Linked DNA regions of Xenopus tropicalis. The main gene of each other region encodes a partner of the protein of the gene in region 3 in a complex. Links are inferred from orthologs where the notes say so. Each region holds a gene or a part of one and is shown on either strand. Other genes may lie near its edges. The genes, in order: c9orf78, ppp1r8 and akap17a.

The links.
Region 1: akap17a (region 3) and c9orf78 share a complex: the UniProt entries of both Homo sapiens proteins name them as parts of the spliceosome. The link is inferred for Xenopus tropicalis from reciprocal best matches to the Homo sapiens genes AKAP17A and C9orf78.
Region 2: akap17a (region 3) and ppp1r8 share a complex: the UniProt entries of both Homo sapiens proteins name them as parts of the spliceosome. The link is inferred for Xenopus tropicalis from reciprocal best matches to the Homo sapiens genes AKAP17A and PPP1R8.

Annotation. Positions count from the first base shown.
Region 1 is NC_030684.2:22,434,143-22,437,900, reverse strand, and holds the start of c9orf78 (uncharacterized protein C9orf78 homolog), read left to right. Parts: upstream 1-962; 5' UTR 963-973; coding exon 974-1,059; intron 1,060-3,758. Other genes in the region: usp20 (ubiquitin carboxyl-terminal hydrolase 20), read right to left, coding at 781-903. UniProt on the Homo sapiens protein: Plays a role in pre-mRNA splicing by promoting usage of the upstream 3'-splice site at alternative NAGNAG splice sites; these are sites featuring alternative acceptor motifs separated by only a few nucleotides. May also modulate exon inclusion events.
Region 2 is NC_030678.2:79,515,209-79,518,866, forward strand, and holds part of ppp1r8 (nuclear inhibitor of protein phosphatase 1), read right to left. Parts: intron 2,778-3,658; exon of another isoform or gene 2,619-2,777; intron 723-2,618; coding exon 569-722; intron 1-568. UniProt on the Homo sapiens protein: Inhibitor subunit of the major nuclear protein phosphatase-1 (PP-1). It has RNA-binding activity but does not cleave RNA and may target PP-1 to RNA-associated substrates. May also be involved in pre-mRNA splicing.
Region 3 is NC_030678.2:38,922,057-38,925,814, reverse strand, and holds the start of akap17a (A-kinase anchor protein 17A), read right to left. Parts: upstream 2,117-3,758; 5' UTR 1,999-2,116; intron 228-1,998; 5' UTR 215-227; coding exon 1-214. UniProt on the Homo sapiens protein: Splice factor regulating alternative splice site selection for certain mRNA precursors. Mediates regulation of pre-mRNA splicing in a PKA-dependent manner.

The DNA.
Region 1 (3,758 bases), on a different chromosome or scaffold from region 3:
TATATATATATATATATACCAAATCAAACACAACCAGCACCAAGGGTCTTGTGGTTCAAACAAATATTATAGTATTATAATTGCATGTACAACTGACGTTTCGGTCCCTTTTGGGACCTTTAAAAAGGTATATATATATATATATATATATATATATATATACAGTCCAGAGTGGGAGGCACACCATAAAATGAGAGTAAACCTAGGTGCCAGAGCTATAAAATCTGTAGATAGGTAAAGAATGTCGGCACTCTTAGGATTTCCACAATAAGGCAAAAAAGTAAAGTTTTTTTTCAAATGCAAGCGGTGAGATTTATTGTTTCCAACGTTTCAGTCCTTTACTAGGACTTTCGTCAGGGAGTGCAGGAAGGCAAAGACATTGCACTCCCTGACGAAAGTCCTAGTAAAGGACTGAAACGTTGGAAACAATAAATCTCACCGCTTGCATTTGAAAAAAAACTTTACTTTTTTGCCTTATTGTGGAAATCCTAAGAGTGCCGACATTCTTTACCTATATATATATATTTATATTGAGAGAGAGATACAAGTTGCTAGTAAGCTGCACACCATGAGAAGAAATAATACCTGGGGGTGCCAGAGAAGGTGTGTGTGTGTGTGTGTGTGTGTGTATATACATACACACACACACGCAAGGTTAATATGATGCACTGCCCCCAGGCCCCTGCCGCTACACTAAGCTAAACCCCTGCCTGTACAGACATTAATCCTCTAGTAGTTATGGAGCTTGTACATGGATACGGGGTGCAGGAGCAAACCTACCTCCCTATGCCATGCCAGCCTGATGCCAGATACCTCTGTTACCGCAGCTGTTGACTGCTGATTCCTAACTCCGCCCCACACTGCCAAGGCAAGGGCGGAGATCCGGAAGCTTCTCACTGGCATTATTACATCATTAGACCGCGCCGGAAGTTTACATATTCCGTAGTGTCCGGGTTCAGCAGCGGGGAGAAAGATGCCTGGGGGAAGAAACTTTCGGAGGCGTAAAGCCTCGTCGTCAGATGAAGAAGCGGAGGCTGAAGAAGTAACTCAGGAGGTTAGGTAGGTTCTCGTTATATTTCTGCGACTCAACAGTGAGGATACTCGAAGTTGTATTCGTGTGAAACGTTACCTCAGGCCTTTTTTTTATTCCAAGAACGCGTTACTATGGATACCAATTAGCCATAAACACATTGTTGGGAGGGCAGACTTGGGGGTCTGCTTTTTCTATAGGTGTAACTAACTAACCCCCTTCCCCATCACTGTTCTACCTGAGCGTTAGTGGGCAGAGATAGGGGAAGTGAGCAGTGTCGGGCTGGGACCCAGGGGCCCACCAGAAAACATTAGACCCTCGGCTCACTCTCCAAATTATTTTTTTCTCAACCAACCTCTGCTAGTCTCTTTTATTTACATGCCAATATCTATTCTTCCATCTATTTCTCTTCTTTGTTTTCATTCAGCAATAGGGTATGACCGTGAAGTAGGCCAAATGGTAGGAGCAGGAGGGCTCACTGACACCTGTGCCCACCAGGAGTTTCCTGGTAGGCCAGTCCGACACTGGAAGGGAGGGGCAGGGTGTTGGTTTGTGAGGGGAGGGTGGGTAATGCCCTCTGGGGGGCCCTGCGTGGTCTGGTAAGTCAATACAGGGTACAAGAATGTGTTTACTTAACAAGCACATGTGGGCCGAGGAATGCGCGCACACACACACACACACACACACCATATGTAGATTCAGCACTCCTAAGCGTGGTCAAAAGACCCATGTGCTACCAATTAAGCATTAAAAATAAAAAATCTAGTGAATATTGGTGCACACCGGGAATCATTTAAAAAAGTAGCCTTTATTGTAGTAAAAAAAAAAAAAAATAAAAAATATATATATATATATATATATATATTTTATTATATATTATTCTCTTATTAATACCCTGTTTGTATTAATGTATTCTACTGTACAGCACTGCGTACATAAGTAGCGCTTTATAAATAAAGATATATATATATATATATATATATATACATATACATATACATATACATATACATATATATATATATATACATATACATATACATATACATATACATATATATATATATAGAAACAACAACAAGAGATCCTCTGCACTCACCCATTATCAATATATAGGACATTAAGACATTCAGTGCATTTAAGCTACTAAGAAATGCCCTTCCCTTTAAGCAAAACAGGGATTGTTTGTCCATATATTGCAATATACTTCAAGCTGGCCAACTGGGTCAAAGTCATCCCTTTTGACCAGTTCCTACACTGACTTATGCGATTCATTAAGAATTCTACTGCTTCAATATACATTTAGCCAAGGGACTAAGTTTTACCTGCAACTTTCTTGCTTTCAAGGTTAAAATCCCCATATGGTTGCCCTTTTATTGGCTCCACTGGGATCACCTGACTGCAGCTGGGAAGGGTGGGAGCTACAACAAGGAGCTGGCCACTGCTCCTGTATAAGCTATAGTAAAAAAAGGGAAAGTTGTTCTCAACCACTAAATTTTAAACCATTAAAATATATATATACACACACATACAGTCATGGCCCAAATTGTTGGCACCCCAGAAATTTTTCCATAAAATCAAGTATTTCTCACAGAAAAGTATTGCAGTAACACATGTTTTGCTTTACACATGTTTTGCTTTACACATGTTTATTTCCTTTGTGTGTATTGGAACAGAACTAAAAAAAAAGGGAGGAAAAAAGCAAATTGGACATAATGTCACACAAAACTCCAAAAATGGGCTGGACAAAATTATTGGCACCGTTGTGGATAAATAAGTTTGTTCCAAACATGTGATGCTCCTTTAGGCTAATGCCACACGAGGTGTAGGGCGGATATTTTCGGCAAGCTTAAAATCGATTGCTGAAAATTCCGCCCTACGCCTCCTACATGTGCCTGCACCCGAATGAATGAGATACGCTCTGGTGCAGGCACATGTAGCCGATATACGCATGAAAAAGCGAGACTTTGCATTATCTCGCGACATTTAAATGAAATGAAGCGCTATGGCAGGAGACCCAGGAGGACCCCACTGCTGACAGTGCCGCCATCAGAAATTACAGGGCCCCTCACAACAAAATTTTCTGGGCCCCCCTCTTCCCACGCCCCCAATGGCCCCTCACCCAGTGACCCCTCCCATCAGTTTCCAAGCAGCCTATGCAATAAAATGTCTCTTTAACAAATGGCACACACTACACAGAATATAAATGAGTTTTATATTTGTTAAATCACATTTATTACTATTATTATTAATTAATACAGTATTGTTATTAATACAGTACAGAAATGCTTTCTCCCCCCCCCCCTCTGCTGTGTTCGAAACAACCAGCCACACCTAGCGATTAATTACTGACGCCCTGGAGGCTCCGTACGCTGTAAGAGTAACTGAGTGTAGTTAACAGACCGAGAAACTATATGAGGAGCAAGTGGTTGACATACTGGGTGTGGGCTATGATACAACTTTGGTTAACAATTCTTAGATTGCCGAGCGAGAACTTATTGATATGCTAGTTGAGTATAATCACGGCCTTAATTCTGTCCCTTGAAGTGTAAGTAGGTTGTGTTACAATTGCGGGCTAAGTTAAACATACACTCTATATTAGCGGTGCATTGTGATTGCAAAATACGGGACGTAAAGTGAATATATTTCTGCAGAGATCTGTGGTGGGGATGCGGCTTCTGTGATTTGTCGTATAGAGGGCAGATGTACTTACATCGAGTTCGGGGTA
Region 2 (3,658 bases), about 41 Mb from region 3:
AGGATTATTGCTTTTTGATGGATGAAAATAGGACACAGCAACGTAAATACAAGCTAATATTCTATATACATTAAGGAAAGCATATAGCATGACCATAATGTTAAAGTACTGCCACATAATTATTTTTTCAATCTAACAAGTCTAAAGCATACCTTTTGGGCAGTGGCACATGGGGAGATTAATAGCTCGCGATAAATCTTTACTATCGCTGGCGACTAATCTCCCCGATATGCCATTTACACTGGCAAGAATATAACTTGCTGGTGGGATGGCATACGCATCCCTTTTGGAAGTTGCCTTGCAACATAACTTTGGGCGACTTTGGGAAACCAAAGCGATGCATATGCCATCCCACAGACAATTTACATTCTTGCCAGTGGAATGGCATACAGGGGAGATTAGTCCCCTGCGGTAGTCAAGATTTATTGCGGGTGACTAATCTCCATGTGCCACTGCCCTTAAGGTATACATTAAAGGACACCTGTAGTATTGTGCCCGTGTGTTACATTGAGTGAAACTCTTGACCTGGGAAGTGATGCATTGTTGCAAAAGTATAGATTATACTTACTGCTGTTGAGGTCTATCAGAAAGACCCTCTTCAGATGCTTGTGGTACACCAGGGCTGAATGAACTCTGGAGCATGACTGATGATCAATTGTAAAGTCACAAATATCTGGGTTCCTACCAAATAGGTAGTATTTCTTTTCATCAATAATTAGTTTCTGTAAGATGATGAAAGCAGTTTCTTAGATAAGAATTCCAAAAAAACAAACATATCTTATACGAATACTAAGCAAAAATAATTATTTTATCAATTTAATACAAAGTTAGAAAATGAAAGCAAAGATGCGACTGTTAACTACACTGGGAGTGTATAACACTTGGAATTGATCACTAAATCACAGCTGGTTTGTCTAAACTAAAAAAAAAGTTTCTACCAATGCCATCATATGCAGAAGTGAGGTGTTGCCTAACTTCCCTCTTATATCTGTGCCAAATTAGTCTTGCATAAATTGTAAAACTCAATCACATAAGGGGGCTGAAATCTAAAACCCAGGCTAAATCGCTGGCCAAATTTTTTTATTAATATACTGTACGGTCAGGCACAGTCAGATTGCAGTCAGGCGATTGGTGCTGCACGATCAGGCACAGTCACCAGGGGCCAAATAAAACAGCCAGAAGGGCCGTATTCAGCCTGCGGTCCTTGTGTTTGACCCATGTGCCCTTAGGCTAAAAGCTAATGGGGAGATTTGTCGCCAGTGGTTAAATATGGCATTTACTTTATTGCCAACAGGAAAGCGTGTTGGGAAGATGACATCGGCGGTAGCCCAGATCTAACCGCAGGTGACAAATCTCTCCATCTGCTATTAGGGGTGCAATTCAAGTTCAAAAGAAACACAGTTGTTGCTGGTGTGTTTGGTCATTTCAGTGGGGCTGCATATTCAATATTCTATAGTAAGTACTATTAAAGTACAGGTATGGGACTTATCCAGAATGCTTGGGAGCTGGGGTTTTCCAAGTAACGTCTTTCTGTCTACTAAAAAATCATTTTAACATTAAAAAAAAACCAATAGGATTGTTTGCCTTCAATAAGGATTAACTATATCTTATCTGATATCAAGTATAAGGTACTGTTATTATTTCAAAGAAAGAAAGAAATCCTTTATAATAATATGAATTATTTGATTCAAATTGAGTCTATAGGAGATGGCCTTCCTGTAATTTGGAGCTTGCTGGATGACAGGTTTCCAGATAACAGATCCCATACCTGTACTTTTTTTTGCAATCACCTGTAGGAAAATGTAAGCATTATCCATCTCAATTAATATTTGTACGTGATTCTTTACTATCTATGAATGCCACCCTTGCCTCAATAGTTGTCCCGATTCCTAACTCTAGTAATAAGTCACTTCTTTTATCGGTCACTCCGACTCAGACTTTGTGCATGCAAAGTTGCAAAAGACCAAATCATTTGCATGCCTACAAAAAGCACACTTCTTGTGACTGTCAAAAAATGCCTGTCACCTACATACAAATGAGTGTCTTCAAAGACTCCACATGAACAAGTAAGGAGTTTAAAAGGAAATAAATCTGGCCGTTCAAGAGGCTGGGTTGGTGCTTTACGCTTAAGTTACAATAGGTTTTCTTGTTGTTTGAGTGACCTATATAATGGGCAAGTGAAAGGAAGGATGACATTAATTTTCTATAGAAGAACAAAATAACCTATGATTATGTGGTTTTCTGAGCAAATTATGAGCATAATTTGCAATTATGTTCTAAGTCAGAGCAACAAATTCCACCTCATGTATAATCTAGTAAAACAGTGACATCTAGTGCTAGAATTGGCAGGAGGAATGCAGATTTTTGCTTGCTTTTACCAAGATTACTTTTAAGCACAGAAGCTCCCAGATATAGGAGTAGCCTGATTAACAACAACAAATATATAATTTAAAAAAGCAATGTCATACTAAAAATGCTTTAAAGAAAATGTCCATATTTCAAATTAGAAACTGTGGCAAGTCAAAAACACATCATTACTTATGTAACTTAACCATGATCATATCTAACACATTCACACAAAACGCATAGTCACAGTGCACACCCAGTGTATCCCTTGGATCTGTACCATAAGTTATAACTCAAGGTGTCTCTCTGCACTCTGAGCTTAAATGCTTAAGGTTGGGTTAATGTGGCACTCATGGAAACCCAGATACCATGGCATACACTCATCTGAAAGAACAGACAAGCGTGGGTATCCTGGCTCGTATCAAGTGCACTTTTAAAGGAGACTCAACATGTTAATCAGTTGCACCTTATTTGTATAAAGCTTCTTATATACCACAGGAATTAACCTTTTCGTAATGCTTGCCATTTTATTGACCATTTATATATAATAAGATCTTCTGGTACCTGTACTATAAATTCACTTAATTGTTGTAGAGCCTAATACACCTGTTCCTTAGTCTCAGGATTATATTTTACTGTATAACTTATACCTTTTCAAAGGAAGTATGTAATGAAGCTGAGATGCACAGCATTGTGGCCACAATGAACATACTGCAGCTGCAACTGTTAATAGTTATTGCAAGTAGGTGTACATGAACACCATACTTCCCTTCTGACAGATAAGACTTTGCAATCAATTACTGTTGACGCAAAAAGAACTGGTGGAAAAGGTAAAGGTGACAGAATTAACTTTATATAATTGACATTTTTATATAACTAACAACATATCTGTTGCTTACTAGCTACATAATTTTAAACTTAACCTTGTTTTCTAGCACTGCACTCCCATTTCATTTGCCTGTGTATGTTAATATTTGAATTTATCCTGCTCTGGTGGGTGTGGGGGTTTGTGTACACTGGTTGCCATGGTTACTGTGGCTGTTTTTTGGTACCATTTTATGTGGTGGGGGTATTTACTGTGGGTGTGGGCATTTGGTCTGTCCCTGAGGAGCAGCACTGGTCGAAACGTTGGAATTTTTTCAATAAAAACACTTTTTTTTCTTTTGTATCAAGCCCCTGTGTGTGCGGCACTCTTTCAATTATATTTTTGTTTTTGACCTGCACCAAGGGCATTTGGACTTGTATATGGTGTGCTCCTTTCTGTGTACACACACGCAAATCTTAGACATGAATGGTTCCTTGGCACTGGTTA
Region 3 (3,758 bases):
TTTTTGAAATGCGTAAGGTGGAAAATTGATGGTTGTTCACCATGCCTTTCAGACGTTCCATTACTTCCCAGTTAGATATGGACTTTCCAGGTTGCTTCAGCTGCGGTAGTGCCACGCTGATAATCATCTTTGTGATAGGCTTCAAGTAAAGCCCACAAGAGCCACACAGCTCTACAGCTTCCGATGTATCATGCACTATCGTAGCTGCAGCCATAATCTTGAAGGGGCTGTTAATATATAAAGTAGAAATGTTAGGTAATATCTGCAACTTCTTTTATTAAAATGTTGCCTTTAAAATCAAAAGACAAGCAAGTGAAATAATTTATATGTACCAAATTACACAGCACATATTCCTAATATATTAACAAGCATCCCATTTGTAAATAAAACAGACCTCAAATACTGTGTGTACTGCATACAGCTGCTACAAATGGCTGCATCCATACCAGCAAGTGAGACTGACTGTGACACCCTTGACTCAACTATGCCCCACTTACATTCACAGATGAAGGTAATTATGTACATTCACACTTATGATTATTGCTCTCTCTGCATCTCAGCAAAGGGTTCATACTGTCACTGTGATTGATTTTTAGAAAAGGTACCAGAGAAATGAGTAATTAAACGGTTACCCTACCAAACTCAATTGCTAGGTTGGTAGTTTTACATATCAGAAGGCAAAATGCAACACTGAATAATTATAACATGGTCTACAGGATATTTGAGCAATGGCAAACATGGCATCATATTTTTAGCAAGTCAATTTCCCAGACAAGATGCAGCGTAGCTGCACAGCCATCTCATTAGATTTTGAAAGAGAACTGAACCCTAAATAAGAATCTGTCTAGAAATGCTGTACTCTGTATTAAGAATTTGCTGTATGGGCCAAGAACTTTCTCACAGCTGTAACAGTAATGTTTCAGGCCTTCAGTGTTCAAAGCAGCTCCATATCATGAAATCTAGTTAGGCCATCTTTTGAGTGTCAGTGACATTGCACATGCTCAGTGTGCTCTGGGGTACTGCAGAGAAGCTAAGCTTAGGGTTCAACTCAATTCATAAAAACATTACAGAAAATAAGTTCACATCTGTTACAGAGGCTGATGCTACAGGGCTAACGCCAATTCTGCTGCACTGATTTCTGCGCTGCCATATACTGTGATCTGGGATATAATACCTGAATGTGCTGCCATATACTGTGAATTTGGATATAATACCTGAATGTGTTGCCATATACTGTGAATTTGGATATAATACCTGAATGTGCTGCCATATACTGTGATCTTGGATATAATACCTGAATGTGCTGCCATATACTGTGAATTTGGATATACGGTAATACCTGAATGTGCTGCCATATACTGTGAATTTGGATATAATACCTGAATGTGCTGCCATATACTGTGAATGGGATATAATACCTGAATGTGCTGCCATATACTGTGAATTTGGATATAATACCTGAATGTGCTGCCATATACTGTGATATGGGATATAATACCTGAATGTGCTGCCATATACTGTGAATTTGGATATAATAGCTGAATGTGCTGCCATATACTGTGAATTTGGATATAATACCTGAATGTGCTGCCATATACTGTGATCTTGGATATAATACCTGAATGTGCTGCCATATACTGCGAATTTGGATATAACACCTGAATGTGCTGCCATATACTGTGAATTTGGATATAATACCTGAATGTGCTGCCATATACTGTGAATTTGGATATAATACCTGCACTGTATTGTGCATTGTCACTAAACTCGGGTATCTGACCAGCAGCAAAATATGGGGAGCATTTTCAGAGGCATAAAGTCTTTCTAGCAGGTACACAAAACAAAATGAACTGTAGCATTCCTAGTCTAATTCATTGTTGAGGTTCAGTTCCCCTCAAACAAACCAGCAAGCGGAAGGCTTTGCGTGTGACATCCCGTATTGTTGTTTTCCCTACGCGCATGAATCCCAAGGAGAGGTAGTACAGGGCAGGTGCATACCGCTCTCCCGCTTTCCGTAACACAACCCGGAGTCCCAGACGGCTGCTTAAACGTCCCGAAACGCCATTAGCGCCCTACTCTCTAGATCCTGCCGTACAGCCAACTCCAACGTTCCGCCGCTCATCTCGCGAGACTATGATGTCACGGAGCCACGCAGAGCAGCGCAGTGACGCTAAATCCTTCCGCCGTGAGGCTCTGTCGTGCAAGGTGTCACGCAATCATGTCTGTGGGGGCTGCAGCAGGTCCCACTGCCCGCATTTCCTGAATTAGAGTGGGCTTCAGCTCCCAATATTTGGCCATTCATTGCTTTCTTCACTTTCTCTCCTCCTTACACATTTTAGAAATTACACCTGTGCCAGGAACAAAAAAACCTCCTCCTCAGGGTGGGGGAGCATATTTTTCACACTACATGGTCAGAACAAGGGTAAAACGGAAGTTGTATTTTACTCTTCCTTTATACTTTTATAAACTTGGAATTGTGCAGGTTCCTTCCCTAAGAAAGTTCTGGAACCCAAAAGAACATTGGCAGGGAGTTCCCAAACAAAATGAGACCCATTTCTTTGCTGCTTGCCAGCAATACCCACTACCACTGGTGCCTCTGCTCCCAAAAAATAGTAATTCATGTTCAAATTAAGGCAAAGTGAAATGAAGTAATCTATTTTTCTGAGCTTTTTGTGCAAATGAGGCAGATGTTTCACAGATTAGGGACAAAAGGGCTAATTTAGCAGAATACAACGAAAAGTTAACAAGGTTTTAGGCTCTTTTGTTTTATCCTTGGCTGAAACAGAAAGGCAGGAGCCTCTGCCATAAAAAAAAAATGTGCCAGTGAATTATACTCCTCTAAATATAGAAAGGTTGTGCTTAAAAAGTTGTGCTTGAACTGATTTATTGAGAAATTCCACCTAAACCCCACTAGTATGGGCCATCTGTCCCACTTCCTGCTGGGTGAATTCTCTGGATGTGCAGGGGAGCCACAGGCTCTCAGTACAGATACTGTAGTAAAGGGACCAATCAGCAGCTAGGCTGACCTGATAGGGAACTGAAGCCTGTCTTTGCTTGTGTGAGTGCAGGGCTGTGATTGGCTATCCCCCTCCTACTGTGCTTCTGGCAGGGACCGTTAGGACACGCCCACTCTTCATTTCAAACTCGGACAGAGAACTGATAGGATCTATAGGGAGCTCCAATAAAGGGGCCATTTTTACAGACTGTATTTAATTTTAGCCCAAAGTGAAACCAGCACCATATATTATTCATAATTGCCTACAAAATAAGGGTTTTTCCATTTATCCAATGAGTGTGTAGGGACAGAGGCAGCAGGGAATGTGTGATTTTAGAAGAAGAGAGAAGGGGTGGCACTCGGGTTCAACTTGCATAGATGTTGGTTTGCCTTAGGGCTAAACTACATGGGAGATTTTGTAGAATGGTACAAGTTGGATGTAGATGCATGGGTCAAACTAATCAGAATGATAGAAAAATGTGATGTGCAAACTACATGGAGTATTTGCCATCCAAATGGAACACTGCATGCTTAGTCTGCATCTAACAAGATAAAGCTTATGTTTTTAAAGGACTTTATCTCTTGTTGAAATACATTTGCTGTTGGATCTAGATGCGAAACTCACCATCCTATTTTGACTGATACAACTTGCTTAGCTGCTGTGGGGATAATATTTTGTAGGATCCTATAAAATCTTGCACGATTTTGTGGGTCAAATAAAATGTGGAGCATGGATTGGCAAACTTCCAAGAGAACCCTGATC